2 linked regions of the Elephas maximus indicus genome follow. The protein of the gene in region 1 purifies or fractionates together with the protein of each later gene. This does not show direct contact. Links are inferred from orthologs where the notes say so. Each region holds a gene or a part of one and is shown in the gene's direction. Other genes may lie near its edges. The genes, in order: CRY1 and FBXL3.

What was found.
Region 2: the proteins of CRY1 (region 1) and FBXL3 purify together in Homo sapiens (affinity purification with mass spectrometry; 4 studies listed by BioGRID and IntAct, counting the BioPlex papers as one, with this or other methods). This does not show direct contact. The link is inferred for Elephas maximus indicus from reciprocal best matches to the Homo sapiens genes CRY1 and FBXL3.

The regions. Positions count from the first base shown.
Region 1 is NC_064822.1:174,245,292-174,253,323, reverse strand, and holds the start of CRY1 (cryptochrome-1), read left to right. Parts: upstream 1-4,908; 5' UTR 4,909-5,780; coding exon 5,781-5,938; intron 5,939-8,032.
Region 2 is NC_064832.1:70,175,599-70,183,858, reverse strand, and holds the start of FBXL3 (F-box/LRR-repeat protein 3), read left to right. Parts: upstream 1-5,062; 5' UTR 5,063-5,470; exon of another isoform or gene 5,471-5,513; intron 5,514-8,260. UniProt on the Homo sapiens protein: Substrate-recognition component of the SCF(FBXL3) E3 ubiquitin ligase complex involved in circadian rhythm function. Plays a key role in the maintenance of both the speed and the robustness of the circadian clock oscillation.

The DNA.
Region 1 (8,032 bases):
CCCAGCTCTGCCCGCTCTTCCACCCACCTAAGGAGCAGGAGCAGCCCAGCCTGCAGCCCCAAGGCTGCCTGCCAGCCCAACAAAACCCAACAGCTGTATTCACTGGGTACAGGAGGCCCACGGATGTGCGACTGGGGGCCAGGTGGGGGCTGCGCTAGCAGTCAGATTGAGGCTTTGCACACCTCCAGGCACAGGGCAGGGCAGCGGGGGGAGGGGTGCACAGCAGCAGGGAGAAGTGGCTGTGGGGACCAGGCAGGGAGCAGCTGTGCAGGTGCCTGGTGCATGGCTGGCAGTGGCAGACCCTGGCTGCCCCACTCTGCTGGTGCAGCTGCTACAGCCACCTGGACCAGGAGCAAAGCAGCCTCAGCAGGTTTGCTGGGAGCGAACAGCTGCGTGGCTGCTGGGCCTGTGAATGGCCAGGAGGAGGGGAAGGAGATGAAGGAGGAAGCTCTTCTGGGATTGAGATGCACCCTGGAGCTCTCCAGCTCATTTACTCTGGGAGTCTGGGGTCTTTAAAACCATTAGGAGGAAATAATAAACAAAAGGAGAGCTGCTTTCCCTTAAAAAAAAAAAAAACCCTTATGGGGCCATGAATGCATATGCAGTCGGACATTGCCCAAATGGATGTTATACAGCACATGACTGCATATAATTTTAAATATTCTTCTATAAAACAAAGGCATCTGACTGTGTAGATAATAACAAAAATGGATAAGATTTCAAAGAATGGGAATTCCAAAACACTTAATCATGCTCATGAATGACCAAGAGGCGGTCATTCAAACAGAACAAGAGGATACTACATGGTTTAAAATCAGGAAAGGTGTGCAGCAGGCAGGGCCAGATTAAGGCATGTGAGGACCCTAAACACGGATAATCTGTGGTGCCTCCTCCTCTGCTTATTCACACATTCCAAAGGGATATATGAGTTATATATACACATTACACATGTGTGTGTCTCAGCTATCTATGATGTAATTTCTTTTTAAACGTGACTATAACATTTGCGATTGAAAGCAAAGGTGATGTATGCCATTTTAGTGGAATGAGATGAACTGTAGCTTTTGTCAATTTCATTTAGTTCCCTGCCAGTTCCCTTCCACTGCAGTGGTCACTCTTCCTGTGTCCCGTCTGCTTGGCATCTATAGGTCTTTGCTTTGGGCAAATGGTGCCTCTGTTTCTTGTTGCCCTCAGCACGTGTTTACCTTGCTTATTGGGTAGTCCATCCCTGGTATCAGGGTTGTATCCTTTCACTGTACTTATTCAACCTGTATGCTGGCAAATAATCTGAGAAGCTGGACTATATGAAGAAGAACATGGCAGCGGGATTGGAGGAAGACTCATTAACAACCTGTGATACGCTGAAGGCACAACTTTGCTTGCTGAAAGCAAGAGAACTTGAAGCACTTACTGACGAAGATCAGAGACTACAGCCTTCAGTATGGATTACACCTCAACATAAAGAAAACAAAAATCCTCACAAGTGGGCCAATAAGCAACATCATGATAAATGGAGAAAATATTTTAAAGTTGTCAAGGATTTCTTTTAACTCAGCGCCACAATCAATGTCCATGGAAGCAGCAGTCAAGAAATGAAACAATGTATTGCACTGGGCAAATTGCAAAAGACCTCTTCAAAGCAATAAAAAGCAAAGATGTCACTTTGAGGACATGACCCAAGCCATGGTATTTTCAATCACCTCATATACATGCAAAAGCTGAACAATGAATAAAGGAGACAAGAAGAAATGATGCCCTTGAATTACAGTGTTGGCAAAAAATATTGAAAATACCAAGGACTGCCAGAAGAACAAAAAAAACCTGTCTTAGAAGAACTACAGCCAAAATGGTGCTTAGAAGCAAGGATGGCTAGAGTTCATCTCACATACTTTGGACATGTTATCAGGAGGGACCAGTTCCTGGAAAAGGACATCATGCTTGGTAAAGTAGAGGGTCAGCAAAAAAGAGGAAGACCCTCAGTGAGAGGGACTGACACAGTGGCTGCAACAATGGGCCCAAACATAGCAATGACTGTGAGGATAGTGCAAGACCGGGCAGTGTCTCATTCCTATGAGTAGGAACCAACCCAACAGCACCCAACAGCAACAACAAAACATGGACTGCCAGAAGAATGAATAAACTTTGGAAGAAGTACAGCCAGAATGTTCCCTAGAAGGGAGGATGGTGAGACTTTGTCTCACATACTTTGTACATGTTATCAGGAGAGACCAGTCCTTGAAGGACATCATGCTTGATAAAGTAGGAACCAAAAACACCAAACCCATTGCTGTCGAGTCAATTCTGATTCATAATGACCCTACAGGGCAGAGTACAACTGCCCCATAGGGTTTCCAAGGGGTGGCTGTTGGATCTGAACTGCTAACTTTTTGGTTAGCAGCCAAGCTCTTAACCACTATGCCATCAGGGCTTGGTAAAGTAGAGGTCAACAAAAAAGAGGAAGACCCTCAATGAGATGGATTGACACACCGGCTGCAACAATAGGTTCAAATGCTGCAACAATTGTTAGGATGGTGTAGGACCAAGCAATGTTATTGTTCTGTTGCACACAGGGTCACTATGGGTCAGAACCGACTCAATGGCGCCCAACGACAACAGAAAGCAAAGAAAGGATGATATACCCTCCCCGTGGCAACAGGGGTAGGGAAGAGTGTTTAGACATATTGGCTTTTTAGATGACTTAATTTACTTTATTGCCATTTCCTTCTTCCTTTTAACCTTGCCACCCAAACTGGTGGCAAACAATATACATTCATTCATTCAACAAACATTTTAGTGTATAAACGTCAGGGTCTGGACTAGGTGTTGATGATGCAAAAAGATGAACTAGACAGAAACCTTGCCCTTAGGAAGTCAAACTTTAATGGAGTCAGAGACACTATATTACTGAGCACTGTCTTCCTACTAGGTACAACATGCTGAGGATACAGTAGAGAATACCAAAAAAAAAAAAAAAAAACCCAAATCCATGGCTGACAAGTCAGTTTCAACACATGGCTTCCCCATGTGCTACAGAGAAATAAGCTCCATAGGGTTTCCTTGGCCCTAATCTTTATGGAAACCCTGGTGGTGTAGTGATTAAGAGCTATGTCTGCTAACCAAAAAGGTCGGCAGTTCAAATCAACCAGGCACTCTTTGGAAACTCTATGGGGCGATTCTTCTCTGTCCTATAGGGTCGCTATGGGCCGGACTCAACAGCAATAGGTTTGGTTTTTCTTTTTTTTTAATCTTTACAGAGCCCTGGTGGTGTAGTAGAAACCCTGGTGGTGTAGTGACTAAGAGCTATGGCTGCAAACCAAAAGGTTGGCAGTTCAAATCCATCAGGAGCTCCTTGTAAACCCTATGGGGCAGTTATACCCTGTCCTATAGGGTTGCTATAAGTCCGAATTGACTCAACAGCAATGTATGTGGTGTGTGTGGTGGTGGTGGTGCAGTGGTTAAAAGCTTGGCTGCTAATCAAAAGATTGGCAGTTCAAATCCACCAGCTGCTCCTTGGAAGCCCTACGGGTCAGCTCTACTCTGTTCTATAACACTGGGTTTGATTTTTTGGTTTGGTTTGGAATCTTTACAGAAGCTGATCGTCAGGCCTTTCTTTCAAGGCACCACTGGGTGGGTTTGAACTGGCATCCTTTTGGTTCGTGGCCAACCTCAAAACGTTTGGGCCACCCAAGAGCCTTAGGTACTACAGTAAAACCAAACACCAAACCCCTTGCAGTTGAGTTGATTCCAACTCATAGCAACACTACAGGACAGAGTAGAACTGCCCCACAGTGTTTCCAAGGATCTGAACCAGCCCAGTGCTGTCGAGTCAATTCTGACTCATAGTGACCCTATACGACAGGGCAGAACTGCCCCATAGAGTTTCCAAGGAGCACCTGGTGGATTCGAACTGCCGGCCCTTTGGTTACCAGCCATAGCACTTAAACACTACACCACACTAGGTTTAGGTTTTACAGTGTATTAAGTGATGTATCAGACACATGTGTGGAGGGCTGAGGGGGAGGCCCTAAACCCACCCTGGGAGTCAGAAATAATTTCACAAATTAGGTAACACTTCATCTGAGTCTAAAGGGATGTGTAGAAATACACTAGGTAGCTCAAAGTTGGTTATAGTAAGCAGCAGGTTCCAAAGGATATTTTTATAGAGACAAAAAGAATAGCAACCTCACAAGTTAGGAGTCACAGATTGCAGGCTTCAGGAGGGCTGTGGTTTTTGTCTCTTTTACGGAGCACAGTTCTACTGACACACGTGGGGTCACCATGAGCAGGAATCCAATCAATGGCAAGCGATTTGGGTTTTTCTGGTATTCTCTCTTGTACCCCCCGCCCCCTGAGCCTTGAAAATGTCTGGCACATAACAGGCTCTCAGTAAGTAATTGTTGAATGAATACAAGGCCATCATGTGTTCAAGAAATGACATGGCCCACAGTCCATTATCTCTACAAAGGCAGGCAAGGGCCGCATCAGGAACAGGTAAATCGACACATCACTGTCGGAGTCCAAGCGTACCGCGCCACAGACGCACAGAATGGTAGGAGCGCCAGTTATAGACACGCCAAAGCAGGGCTCTCCGACCAAAGCTGGACCGAAGCACATGGTTTGGGCTGGAAGTCTAAGTGGAGCCTCCCAAACTCCTGCTTCCACCCCAATCTCCCCTTCTCCTGGCCAGGCTTCACGGTTGACTCCCAGAGGGCCGCCTTCCCGGCCTCCCACCGCCCTACGGAAGGAATCGCCCTGCGCGCTCCAGACCGCAGGGACGCAGAGAGAGCGCACGCGCGCCTCCCAGTGCTGAGCGCGTGCCCGCGAGCTCCCCGCATCCCCGTGCTCATCCGGGCCTCAGCGAGCCTCAGCCAATAGTGGCCGCTCACGGCCCCCGGGGGCGGAGCCAAGCCTTCCCTCACATGGGGCCTGTGGTCATCGCTGGCGCCTGTGGGGACCGCGACCAGACGGCCGAGGAAAGGGCCAGAGGCAGGGATCCCAGCACTGGGGCGAGGATCTACAGTCTGGAGCTGCTGCTGCTCTCCGGAAGTGATCGAAACACGAGAAGATTCCTCAGCCAGAGCCGGTGTAGTAAACACACTTCAGAAACGTGAGGTGCCGGTGGTCACGTGGGGAGTGTGCTCGCCAATGAGGAGCCGGGGGCGGGGCCGAGGCCGCTGACGCGTCGGCGGCGGCGGCGGCGGAATCACCCGGGCAGCCTCGGGACTGGTCACTGGCCGGCAACCGTCCAGCGTCCTCGACCACCGCCTTCGTCCTCGTTCGTTTGTCCCGGGCCGCGAGGCAGAGTTCCTGACAGTGGCCGAATCCTCTCTCATTTCTCTGGGTGACTCACCTGCGCCGGGCCGTTTTCTCCTCGAGGGCAGCCTTGGTGGGGCGAGGCTTCCGTGACGAACCTTCTGGGGCCGCCTTTGCCTTCTCGGGCCGTCGTGGCGGCTCGCGCTCCTGGAACTTGCTCACCCTCGGGGGTTCCGAGGCCGTCGAAGTTATGCGTCTCCTCCAGGCGGTTGAGGCCTGCGCCGGGTCCTAAAGGGCGTCACACCCGGGCTGGGCAGCCTCCATTCATCTTCCAACTGCGCCTCCAGCGCCCTCTCCTTCGCACGTCCCCTCCTCGGATTCATTTTTTCCTGTCCCCCCTCTGCCGCCCTTTCTTACTCCTTGGGCTTGGCGATTCTCCTGGAAGCGAAGGGGTCGGCTATGAGCCGGACCTTGCTTGCTTGAAATTCTCTCTGGAGGAACTCGGCGCTGACCCGCTGGCCGCCGGGATGGGGGTGAACGCCGTGCACTGGTTCCGAAAGGGGCTCCGGCTGCACGACAACCCCGCCCTGAAGGAGTGCATTCAGGGCGCCGACACCATCCGCTGCGTCTACATCCTCGACCCCTGGTTCGCCGGCTCGTCTAACGTGGGGATCAACAGGTGGCGGTGAGTCCATCCCCCGAGTGGCGTTAATGTGTGTTTGGTCACTCAGGACCTTCTCTGCGATCGGCCAAGTCTGAGAAATTTAGCCCTGGGAGCGCCTTGCTTGTAACGTTTAAGAACTGTAGCTGTTTCATGTAAACATCCAGGGGAATTGGCTAGAGAGTGTTGACCAGCTGGGACCCCTTGGCCTTCAGCTGTGAGTGGTAATAGAAGCTCTGCCCTCGAATTTATGGAGAATTCTTAGTGGTGGAGCTAAAGAAACACTCTTTTCATCCTTAATGGCCTGTGGGTTGATTTCGTTGCCCTCTGTGTGGTGTTCGAAAGGATTGTGGCTTTTAATATTTACGTTTGTGTGAATATAGGTAAATAACAACGACAACAAAAAAAACCCGTTGCTGTCGAGTCGAATCCGACTTATAGCGACCCTATTGGACGGGGTAGAACTGCCCCATAGGGTTTCCAAGGAGCGGCTGGTGGATTCGAACTGCTGACCTTTTGGTTAGCAGCCGAGCTGTTAACCACTGCACCACCAGGGCTCCAAGGTAGCTGTTAGTATTGAGAAAATCATTCCTTTAAACTACCAAACCAAAAAAAAAAAAAAAAACCTATTGTTGTCTAGTCCAATCTGACTAATAGTGACCCTATAGGACGGGTAGAGCTGCCCAACAGAGTTTTCAAGAACATCCAGATGGATTTGAACTGCCGACCTTTTGGTTAGCAGCGGTAGCACTTAACCACTACGCCACCAGGGTTTTCAAGTCCAGTTTTCTTCCACCTTGAGGCAACCATAGGAAAAGCAAGGAAGCAGCATTTTCTCGTTTCCTTTGCTCAGCTCCTCCCAACTCCTCCTTGTGGCTGAGGAGACAAAGCACACTTTTTCTTTCTAGGCGAAGTATAATCCTTCTAGGGATCAGAGAACTGGGAGAAATCTTAGAGAAGCTTGATGATCTTTTCCTGGAATACCAGGCTAGGTGATTTGTTAGGCTCCCTGATAGACATGAAATAATTCATGCAAACATTATTGATCACCTGTCATACGCCAGGTACTGCTTTAAATGCTAGCGGTATAACAGTAAGAAAAATAGACTAAAATTTCTGTCCTCTTTGAGTTTATGTCCCTGGAAATAAAATACATAGTATTTTAGGTGATGGTAAGTGTCGTGGAGAAAAACAGAGCAGAGAAAAGGTTTAAGGAATACGGAGTTGGGGATGCAATTTAAAATGTGATCAGGGAAAAGCTCACAGGTTCGCTCAAAGGTGGCATTTGAGCAAACACTTGAACCCAAAAACACCCAAACCCACGGCCATCAAGTCGATTCCAACTCATAGCGACCCTACAGGACAGAGTAGAACTGCCCCGTGAGTTTCCAAGGAGCGCCTGGTGGATTCGAATTGCCGACCTTTTTGGTTAGCAGCCGTAGCACTTAACCACTACGCCACCAGGGTTTCCAAAAAGAGGTGATGAAATATGAATATCCAGGGGGAAGAGCATTCCAGGCAGAGGGAACACTAAAGGAAAAGGCCCTGAGGTGGAAATGTGACCTTTGAGGAACAGCAGAAGAAGCCAATATGATTTCAGAACAGAATAAGTGAGGGGAAAAGTAGTAGGAGAAGAAGCCAGAGATATGATAGGACCAATTGAGTAGAACTTTGTAGACAGTTGTTAAGATTTGGGCTTTTACTCTGGGTGAAATAGGAATAATTGCAGGGTTGTGAGCAGAGAAGTGATGTCATCTGACTTAAGATTGAAAACAATTTCTCTGGCTGTGGTTCTGAGAATAGACTGAACTGAGGGTAAAGGGGTAGAGGTGGACAAAAAGCCGGGAGACCAGTTAGGAGCTGTTGCACTCATCCAGGTGAGCGACGATAATGGCTTGGTCCATGGTGATAATGGTGATGTGGTGAGAAGTTGTTGAGAGGAGTTGGAGACAACTCACATAGACAGCTCTTGATTTCAAGGGGTTTTGCTCTAAGAGAATCAGAGAGAGAAATGGTGTGAGGGGATGTGAAGTCAAGAGGACTTTTTCTAAATGAGAGAAGTTACAATATGTTTGTGTGCTGATGGGAATGAAACAGCAACCATATGTACAACAGTTT
Region 2 (8,260 bases), on another chromosome or scaffold:
CGCAAGACGTGGGAAACAGGCTCTAAGCATGAATTAAATGCTGGAAGTCAAGCAGACAGAAGAGTTAACTATAACTATACTTTCAAAATTTCAAGTCAATAAAAGCTGGAAACACTATCACAGCAGGATTTCCCGTCAAGGAGGTGTTTGGAATTTGTGTTTTGAGTTTCCCACTATTAAATACATAGCAATAATAGGTTTGCTATAAAAATTTAATATTAAAAAGGGAGATTCAGAAAAAGAAAATACTTTTGTGTATCTAAAAGGCACATCCATACAAAGCAGTGACTGGTTTTGAAGTAGACTTGCCATGGTATAGGTATGGAAGCAGGTACCGCCATGGTAGGGGAGCGGGGGATAGAGCACCTCTATGAGGCAGGAGAACAGAGCCTGTGTCACTGCCTAAAACCAGAAGCTTGTTGTGAATCTCTAACTATACAGCAGGTTTAAAAAGTTGGTGCCTACAGTTCTGGCTGATAGGAAATGTGTGCCCGCGAGGGAAGAGGACACACACACAGCTTCCCAGGCAGTACAGGACACAAGTTGCCCTTTGCTTCAGTTGCTGGGCCTGCAAGATAATAGACTGGAGACTCAGAAACACGAATATAAGACCTGCCCTAGACTGAGAGTCTGAGTGGCCCTAGACTGAGGGTCTGAGTGGCCAAGTGGAGGCATTCACACAAGTGTAGAGAGAGATGGAGAAAGGAGAGGGCACAGAAAGAATGATAAACAAAGAAATCTTTTGTTCTCAACATAAGCTTGCAGGTTAACATTTCAAAACTGATGGAGAAAAGCAAGGATGAGAATAGCAGCCAGCAAAATTAATAATTAGGGACAAATTTACTTCAAACAAATTGGAAATAATACTACAATATATAAATGACCTCAAAATTGAAATGTTTAGGGTCCTCAAAGATAAAGAAGGAATAAAAATCATTTTTAAATGATTTAAAAACTAGATGGATATAAGAACAAATTAGAAATTTGGGGAATGAAATGTTCAATAGCTGGTAGAAACTCTAGAAGGAGACAAAGAGAAAATCAATGAGTTGAAAGAAAGGCAATACACAAAGAAAGAAAAAGATAAAAACATGAAAGGACAACTAAATGTCGAAGATAAATTGAAAGGACAAAACATAAAGAGCTTAAGATCAAAATAGAAGAATTGGTGGCAAAGGACTATTTGAAGAGATAGTGGCTTGGGTTTTAATGTCAGGGAGGGACAGGAGATGAGTTTGTAGGAGAAGTGATAACTGAGATCCCTGCATAAAGCAAGAATTTTGAATATCTTCATCCTCCTTGAGGAATGGCTGGCCTAGGGCACATGGAGAAGAACAGCAAACTCCGAGTTAAAAAAAAAAAAAAACCTTTTTGAGAATTGAAAACCATGGGTCTAGTCAGAAAACAAAACAAAACAAAAAACAATTACGGTACATCCTACAAATACTGGACCAGTACTCCTTAACAGTGTGAAAGTCATCAAAAACAAGGAATTACAAGGCTGTGCATAAGGAACTAGGGCAGCATCACCTGAGCCATCCTGACCAGCAGTGTACCAAGGTGAAGGTTATGGTGGGGGTTGTCTGCCCTGGAGAATTTAAAAACAATTTGAAAAAAATGACTAAAAATCAGCCCGCTTTTTACTATCACCATGCACTGGCAATTCTAAATAAGATCAGTAATAAAATTTTCTTCCCTGCTGCACCAAACTCCTCCACAGTTAACCAGCCCCCCACAACTCCTATGCCACTGACCTTGACTAATACGACTGATAAATGTAAGTAAGGATTGTCTGCTTCAAAAATAAGCACAAGTTTCTTCTTTTAAAAAGGTGAAATAGAGAAGAAACCATTCTTTGATGGTTACGGGGGTGGGGAGGGAGAGAGATATTCGCTAATCAGACGGTAGACAAGAATTATTTTAGGTGAAGGGAAGGACAACACACAATACAGGGTAAGTCAGCACAACTGGACTAAACCCAAAGCTAAGAAGTTTCCTGAATACAACCAAACAATTCGAGGGACAGTACAGGCATAGGGGGTCTGGGGACCATGGTTTCAGGGGACATCTAGGTCAACTGGCATAACAAAGTATATTAAGAAAATGTCCTGCATCCCACCTTGGTGAGTAGCATCTGGGGTCTTAAAAGCTAGCAAGCGGCCATCTAAGATGCATCAATTGGTTTTAAACCACCTAGAGCAAAGGAAAATGAACAACAGCAAAGACAGAAGGAAAATATGAGCCCAAGAGACAGAAAGGGCCACATAAGCCAGAGACTCCATCAGCCTGAGACTGGAAGAACTAGAGGGTGCCCGGCTTCCACCGATGACTGCCCTGACAGGGAACACGACAGAAAATCCCTGATGGAGCAGAAGAAAAGTGGGATGTAGACCTCGAGTTCCAGTAAAAAGACCAGACTTAATGGTCTAAGACTGGAGGGAGCCCAGAGATCATGGCCCCCAGACTCTCTGTTAGCCAAAAACTAGAACATTCCCAAAGCCAGCTCTTTAGACAAAGATTAGGCTGGACTATAAGACATAAAATGATACCGGTGAGGGGTGTGCTTCTTAGCTCAAGTAGACACATGAGACTATGTGGGCAGTTTCTGTCTGGAGGCGAGGAGAGGCGGCAGAGGGGACAGGAGCTGGCTGAATGGGCACAGGAAATACAGAGTAGAGAGGAGTTGTCACATTGCAGGGAAAGCAACTAGGGCCATATAACAATGTGTGTGTATGAGAAACTGACTTGGATGGTAAACTTCTACTTAAAGCACAATAAAAAAAGAAAAAAAGGTGAAATAAAAGTTTTAAATAACAATTACAAGGATGAAGAAGGAGCATTCAGTGAGTTAGGTGTGTCAAGGTCCTTGTCTTGCACGAGAGGAGGGTAACCTGTAATGGGAAAACCCACGCTGGAGGGTAAAAGCTCTAATGTGATATTCTAGTTATGTTTGCTGATTTGGTTTAATGTATTTTGCTGATCATTTATACTCTTAACCTAGCTTTAAAGAAATGGGCCTGTTTTTCTTGCCTTTCTTAGAACTTTCTATTGTCCCTCATCATCTAGTCACAGAGGGACCTAAAAAAATGTTGCAGTTTAGGTACCTGGTCGCTATGAGTCGGAATCAACTTGACAGCAATGGGTTTTGATTTGGTTTTACATTATTATGTTGCTATAGATTTTGTAGTTTGCCTTGATGACCTGATAGTCAGGCCCTTAAAAAAAAGACTGTCATTTTCCCACACTGAATCTTAATGCTGTTTTAAATATCAATTCTTAGCTCAATTTCTTGAGGGAAGGGGAGGAGTGAAGGCTTCCCTGGACATCACTGCTATCAGTCTCCTACACACAGCCGAGATAGTTCAGAAGACGTCTTGGGATGGAAAATTACTTTCTTTTGCTTTGTTTTATGGGGTAGAGGAGGCAGAGTGCATGATTCAGTTATGTTTTTGCACATAGGACATTTCTAGCTTTAGGAAAACTCACTACCCCAAAATCTCAATTTTTAAAACAAGTTAACTAGGTAGCAGTTACACACAAAGATGCCTTGATTTACAAAAAGCATCACCAGAGGTTTTCTTTCAAATAGCTCTCTGCTCCTTTACTTTACTTTTCCCGTTACGTTTCAGAAAGCTACTTATAAATTCCAGGAGTTTTTTACTTCATAGAAGCCTTGGAGGCGCAGTGGTTAAGCACTTGGCTGCTAACTGAAGGTTGGCAGTTTAGCATTTCAAACCCACCAGCTGCTCCGTGGGAGAAAGATGTGGTAATCTGCTTCTGTAAAGGTTTACAGCCCCGGAAACCCTATACAGCAGTTCCACTCTGTCCTATAGGGTCACTGTGCGTCAGAATCCACTCAACCGCAATGAGTTTAGTTTTGGTTTGGGTATCTACTTCACAAGGAGCCCTGGTGGTGGTGCTGTGGTTAAGCGCTCAGCTGCTACCGAAAAGTGGACCACGGTTCAAACCTACTAGCGGCTCTGTGGGAGAAAGAAGTGAGTCTGCACCCATAAAGGTTACAGCCTTGGAAACCCTATGGGGCAGTTCTGCTCTGTCCTATAGGGTCACAATGAGTTGGACTTGACTCAGCAACAACAGCTTCTGGTTTACGAACCTGAAGGTTGGCAGTTCAAACCCACCCACTGGTGCCTCAAAAAAAAAGGCCTGGCAATCTGCTTGCAAAATCCTATGGAGTCCTACTCTGTAACATGCGTCAGAATCCACTCAGTGGCAACGACTTCAACTACTTCATAAAGCAGAGGTGGTTTTAAAAGAGTAATAACTCTGATTATAAAACTCATTTCAGGAAAATTGGGAAATACAAATATTTTAAAAATAAAAAAACATTCTGTAATTCCAGGGTTAACAGGTTACCACTCTGGTATGTTTCATTGCAATATTTTAAAAAATTACGTATATATTAGGTTTGTGTATTAAAACAACAAAAAAACCAAACCCATTGCCATGGAGTCGATGCTGACAGCGATCCTACAGAATAGAGTAGAACTGCCCCCATAGGGTTTCCTGGGAGCGGCTGGTGGATTCGAATTGCTTACCTTTTGGTTAGCAGCCAGGCTCTTAACCACTGCACCACCAGGACTCCTGTGTATTTTTAAAGCCTGTGGTTTTAACCCCTAAGGTTACAGATCGCAAGTCATGGCCCTCCCAAGTGCCAACACCTCACCCTGAGAAGTGTGTCAGCTGTCAACAGGTACTGTTTATCTTTCTGCCCGGTGGAACCGGCTGCCAAGTTACAAGAGACACTCTAGAGACACTCCTTCCTTTCTTTTCTCGGTTCCACTCCCTAAACTTTCTTTTCAGCCCAGACAGTCTCTTGGACAACCACCTAGCTCCAGCCCTCTCTGTCTGCTCCCAAACAAAAAATTCCCTAAAAGTAGCAGTCACTGCTGAGAGGGAGGCGGCGGACTCTCCTTTAGAAAAGAAGAGGCGGATGAACACAGCTGAGAGGCACAGACGTTCGACCGCTTCTGCGCGCGCTCCCACGTGGGCGCGGCCCCGCTCCTGTCCTCCCCGCCCTCCGCGAGCGCGCCAGTGGCGAACGCGCGCCCGCCCCACTCCGGCGGAGAGGCGCCGGGGAAAGCGCGCGGCCGCGAGTTACGGGCGCCATTTTGGACTCAGTGTCTGGACGGAAGCGCCGGGAAGCTACGCGGTGGCCGCAGCTCGCTGAGGGTGTCTCTTGCGGTGACAAGGGGTCCTGGGAGAAAAACGTAGGCGGCGTGAGGCTGAGAAGGAAGACTTCTCCCTGGGCAGCCAGAGCCGCGAAGGTGGAGCCGCGTTGGCGCTCGCTGCGGGACCAGCGCCTCGGATGCGGGCGGAGCGCGGGGGGCCGCGGCGACGGGAGCGCGAAGCCGGGGGCCTTGGGGGCCTCATGTGAGAGCCGCGGGACCAGCCGCCGCCGCCGTCCCCGGAGCCCGGGGTGGTGTGTGGGCGAAGCCGCCCACGGCAGCAGGTAACGGCGGATGGGCAGGACCGGAGCGCCGTAGCAAAGGCGGGTCAGTGGAGGGTCCACCGGCCATTTCTGGGCAGAGGAACGGGCGGAGGGGCGCGGGGTCCCTGACACGCGCGGACCGCCCCTCGGGAGGCCGGGCGGCGCCCAGACATTGGAGCCTGTTTGGGGGCGTTTCCCTCCGGTGCTGTCTTCAAAACATGTCAACAAGGCGTGGTGCGTGTGCGGCGGCCGCGTGCAGCCCGCCCCGCGACGCTGCCGCGCCCTGGGCTCGCCTCGGCTGTCGCCCGGCTTTACTACCCGCACCAGGGTTTGGTGACAGGCACCGTGGAGCTCGCTTTCTGCGGAGCTCTTCCCGGCGACGGCTACGCCGGGTTTGTAACTTGAGAAATTAGAAGTATTAAAACGTCAAAACAAACTGCCAGGGTAGAGCGCACGAGCTCTGTCCAATCCGTGGAGGTGGCGCAGGGCGGAGGGGAGGCGGCGACGCCCGCGCCGCGTAGCGGAGTGGAAAACTTGGTCAACTTGAGATGAGCAGCTTCGCGCCTACTTTTGGCGTGAGCAGCCTTTTTTAGGCTGCAGTTACAATGATCAGGCAGAGCAGCCCGCTAAATGATTGGTGTCAATCTCCCTGCCAGAAGTTGTCGTCCAATAATTAGAATCTTTTTTTGTAACTTGAATGTTAAGTAGTTTCTGCAATCGGTGAGATATTTCTAAAAATGCCACCAATTCCGAGGTATGTACGTATGACCATGAGACATTTTTCACCACGTTCTCCCTGCCATCCAATTCTGAGAGTTCAACTCTTACCACTCTTCTTTTCTTGTATTCCAGCTCAAGAAGGCATTTTGAAATTAGTCAAAGCAGAACATAAGTGGAAAGGAAATATGCCGAAACAGGCTCTTTTAGTTTTCCAGAGCTAAATACAAACGAACTTTTAAAATTATTACATGCCCAGGGTAGGTAAGGAGCTCTGGTGTTTCAGTAGTTATGCATGCCGCCGCTAACATCAGCCACACTCCTTGGAAACCCTATGGGGCAATTATGTTCTGTTGTATACCCAAAAACCCACTGCGGTCTAGTCGATTCCTACTCGTAGCAGTCTGTCGTTTAGGGTGGCTATAAGTCGGAATCAACTCGGTAACAGTGGGTTTGGTTTGGCTTAGTTTATGTACAAGGAGCCCTGGTGGTGCAATGGTTAAGTGTTTGGCTGCTCAGTTCCAGCCCTGTCCCAGTTGTGGGAGAAAGACCAGGCAATCTGCTTCCATAAAGATTACAGTCAAGAAAACCCTGTGGGGCAGTTCCCTGTGACATAGGGTTGTCGTATGTTTAAAATTGACTTGACAGCACCTAACAGTGGTTAGGAGCTTTGCTGCTAACCAAAAGGTTGGTTGTTTGAATCCACCAGCCACTCCATGGAAACCTTATGGGGTTGTCCTATGGGTTTGCTGTGAGTCAGAATCAACTCGATGGCACATAACAACAACAAACGTATGTAAAAGTGCCTGAAACGAGGGTGCACAGCCAGGGTTCTCTTCTGCTCTTCATCTGTTTGATGGTCAACTTGACTGCCCTTTCCAGAGTTACATGGAAATGTTGAGTTGGCTCAGTGACTTCCTGTGTTGGCTGCTATAGTTTTTCTTCATTAGGTTGCTTTTTGTCCCTTCATAGTCTCTCACCAAAAGCTGCAGTGGCCTAAATTGCGTTAATTATTCGGGACTTGGAAAAGTTGCAGTTGGAAATTAAATTGCCAAGGCTCTGCAGAGGCCTGGGTTTCATTGACGTTTATTTTCCAGCTCATCCGCTCCACGCCTCTTCAAATATAAAAGGCGTTTTAAGTAGGAGATAAATAAGTCCATTGACGTAAGTCATTTGCAGACTGGTGGATGTATAAATAGATATAATAAACTGCTTTTGAAAGCACTGTAAATTTTTGCATGAATAGATGAAGTCAACCTGGAAAAAACAACATTTAGAAGTTTTATTATGGGTCCACTCCCTTCTCTTATTTTTATGCATGTGAAGATAATAACCAAAAAACCTGTTGCTGTCGAGTGGGTGCCAACTCGTAGTGACCCTATAGGATGGAGTAGAACTGCCTCGTACGGTTTCCAAGGAGCGGCTGGTGGGTTTGAACTGTGGGCTTTTTTTTTTTGGTTAGCAACCAAGCTCTTAACCACTGTACCACCAGGGCTCCCTGAAGATAATACAGAGAACGTTTTTATCTGCATTTGGCCTTATATTTGTAGATGCTCTTTTTTTGATAGGTTTATATACTAATGTACTAATAAATTATGACACTACGGTTCTATTACATGAAAATTTAGATATTTGTTCAGCTATTCATAAACTAATAAATGCTTAAAATATACTTTTGTGATCATATAATCTTTTTATATCTCAGCTGAGAGAAATACAATTATCCCAGTATTGCATACTTTTTAATATTTTTCAGGTTTTTATCCCCTTCTCAACTTGGAAAAGTATTAAAATATACGTTGTTTAGAACAGGGCTGTAATAGACAAAGTAAGTACTTGTTGTTAGGACCAGCAAAGTGTTAACAGAGAAAATTGTGTGAATAAGGCGGTTGTTTTATTTCTGTTTATATGTCTAAGGTAAAATGGATACAGGCAGTTCTGGGTTACTAGCATCCTGACTTAGGGACAACTCTTTAATGTTATATAAATTTGTCCTCACTTTGCAGTGATTGAACCAACCCCTAACTATAAACCAAAATCAAACCCACTGCCGTCGAGTCGATTCGGACTCATAGCGACCCTATAGGACGGAGT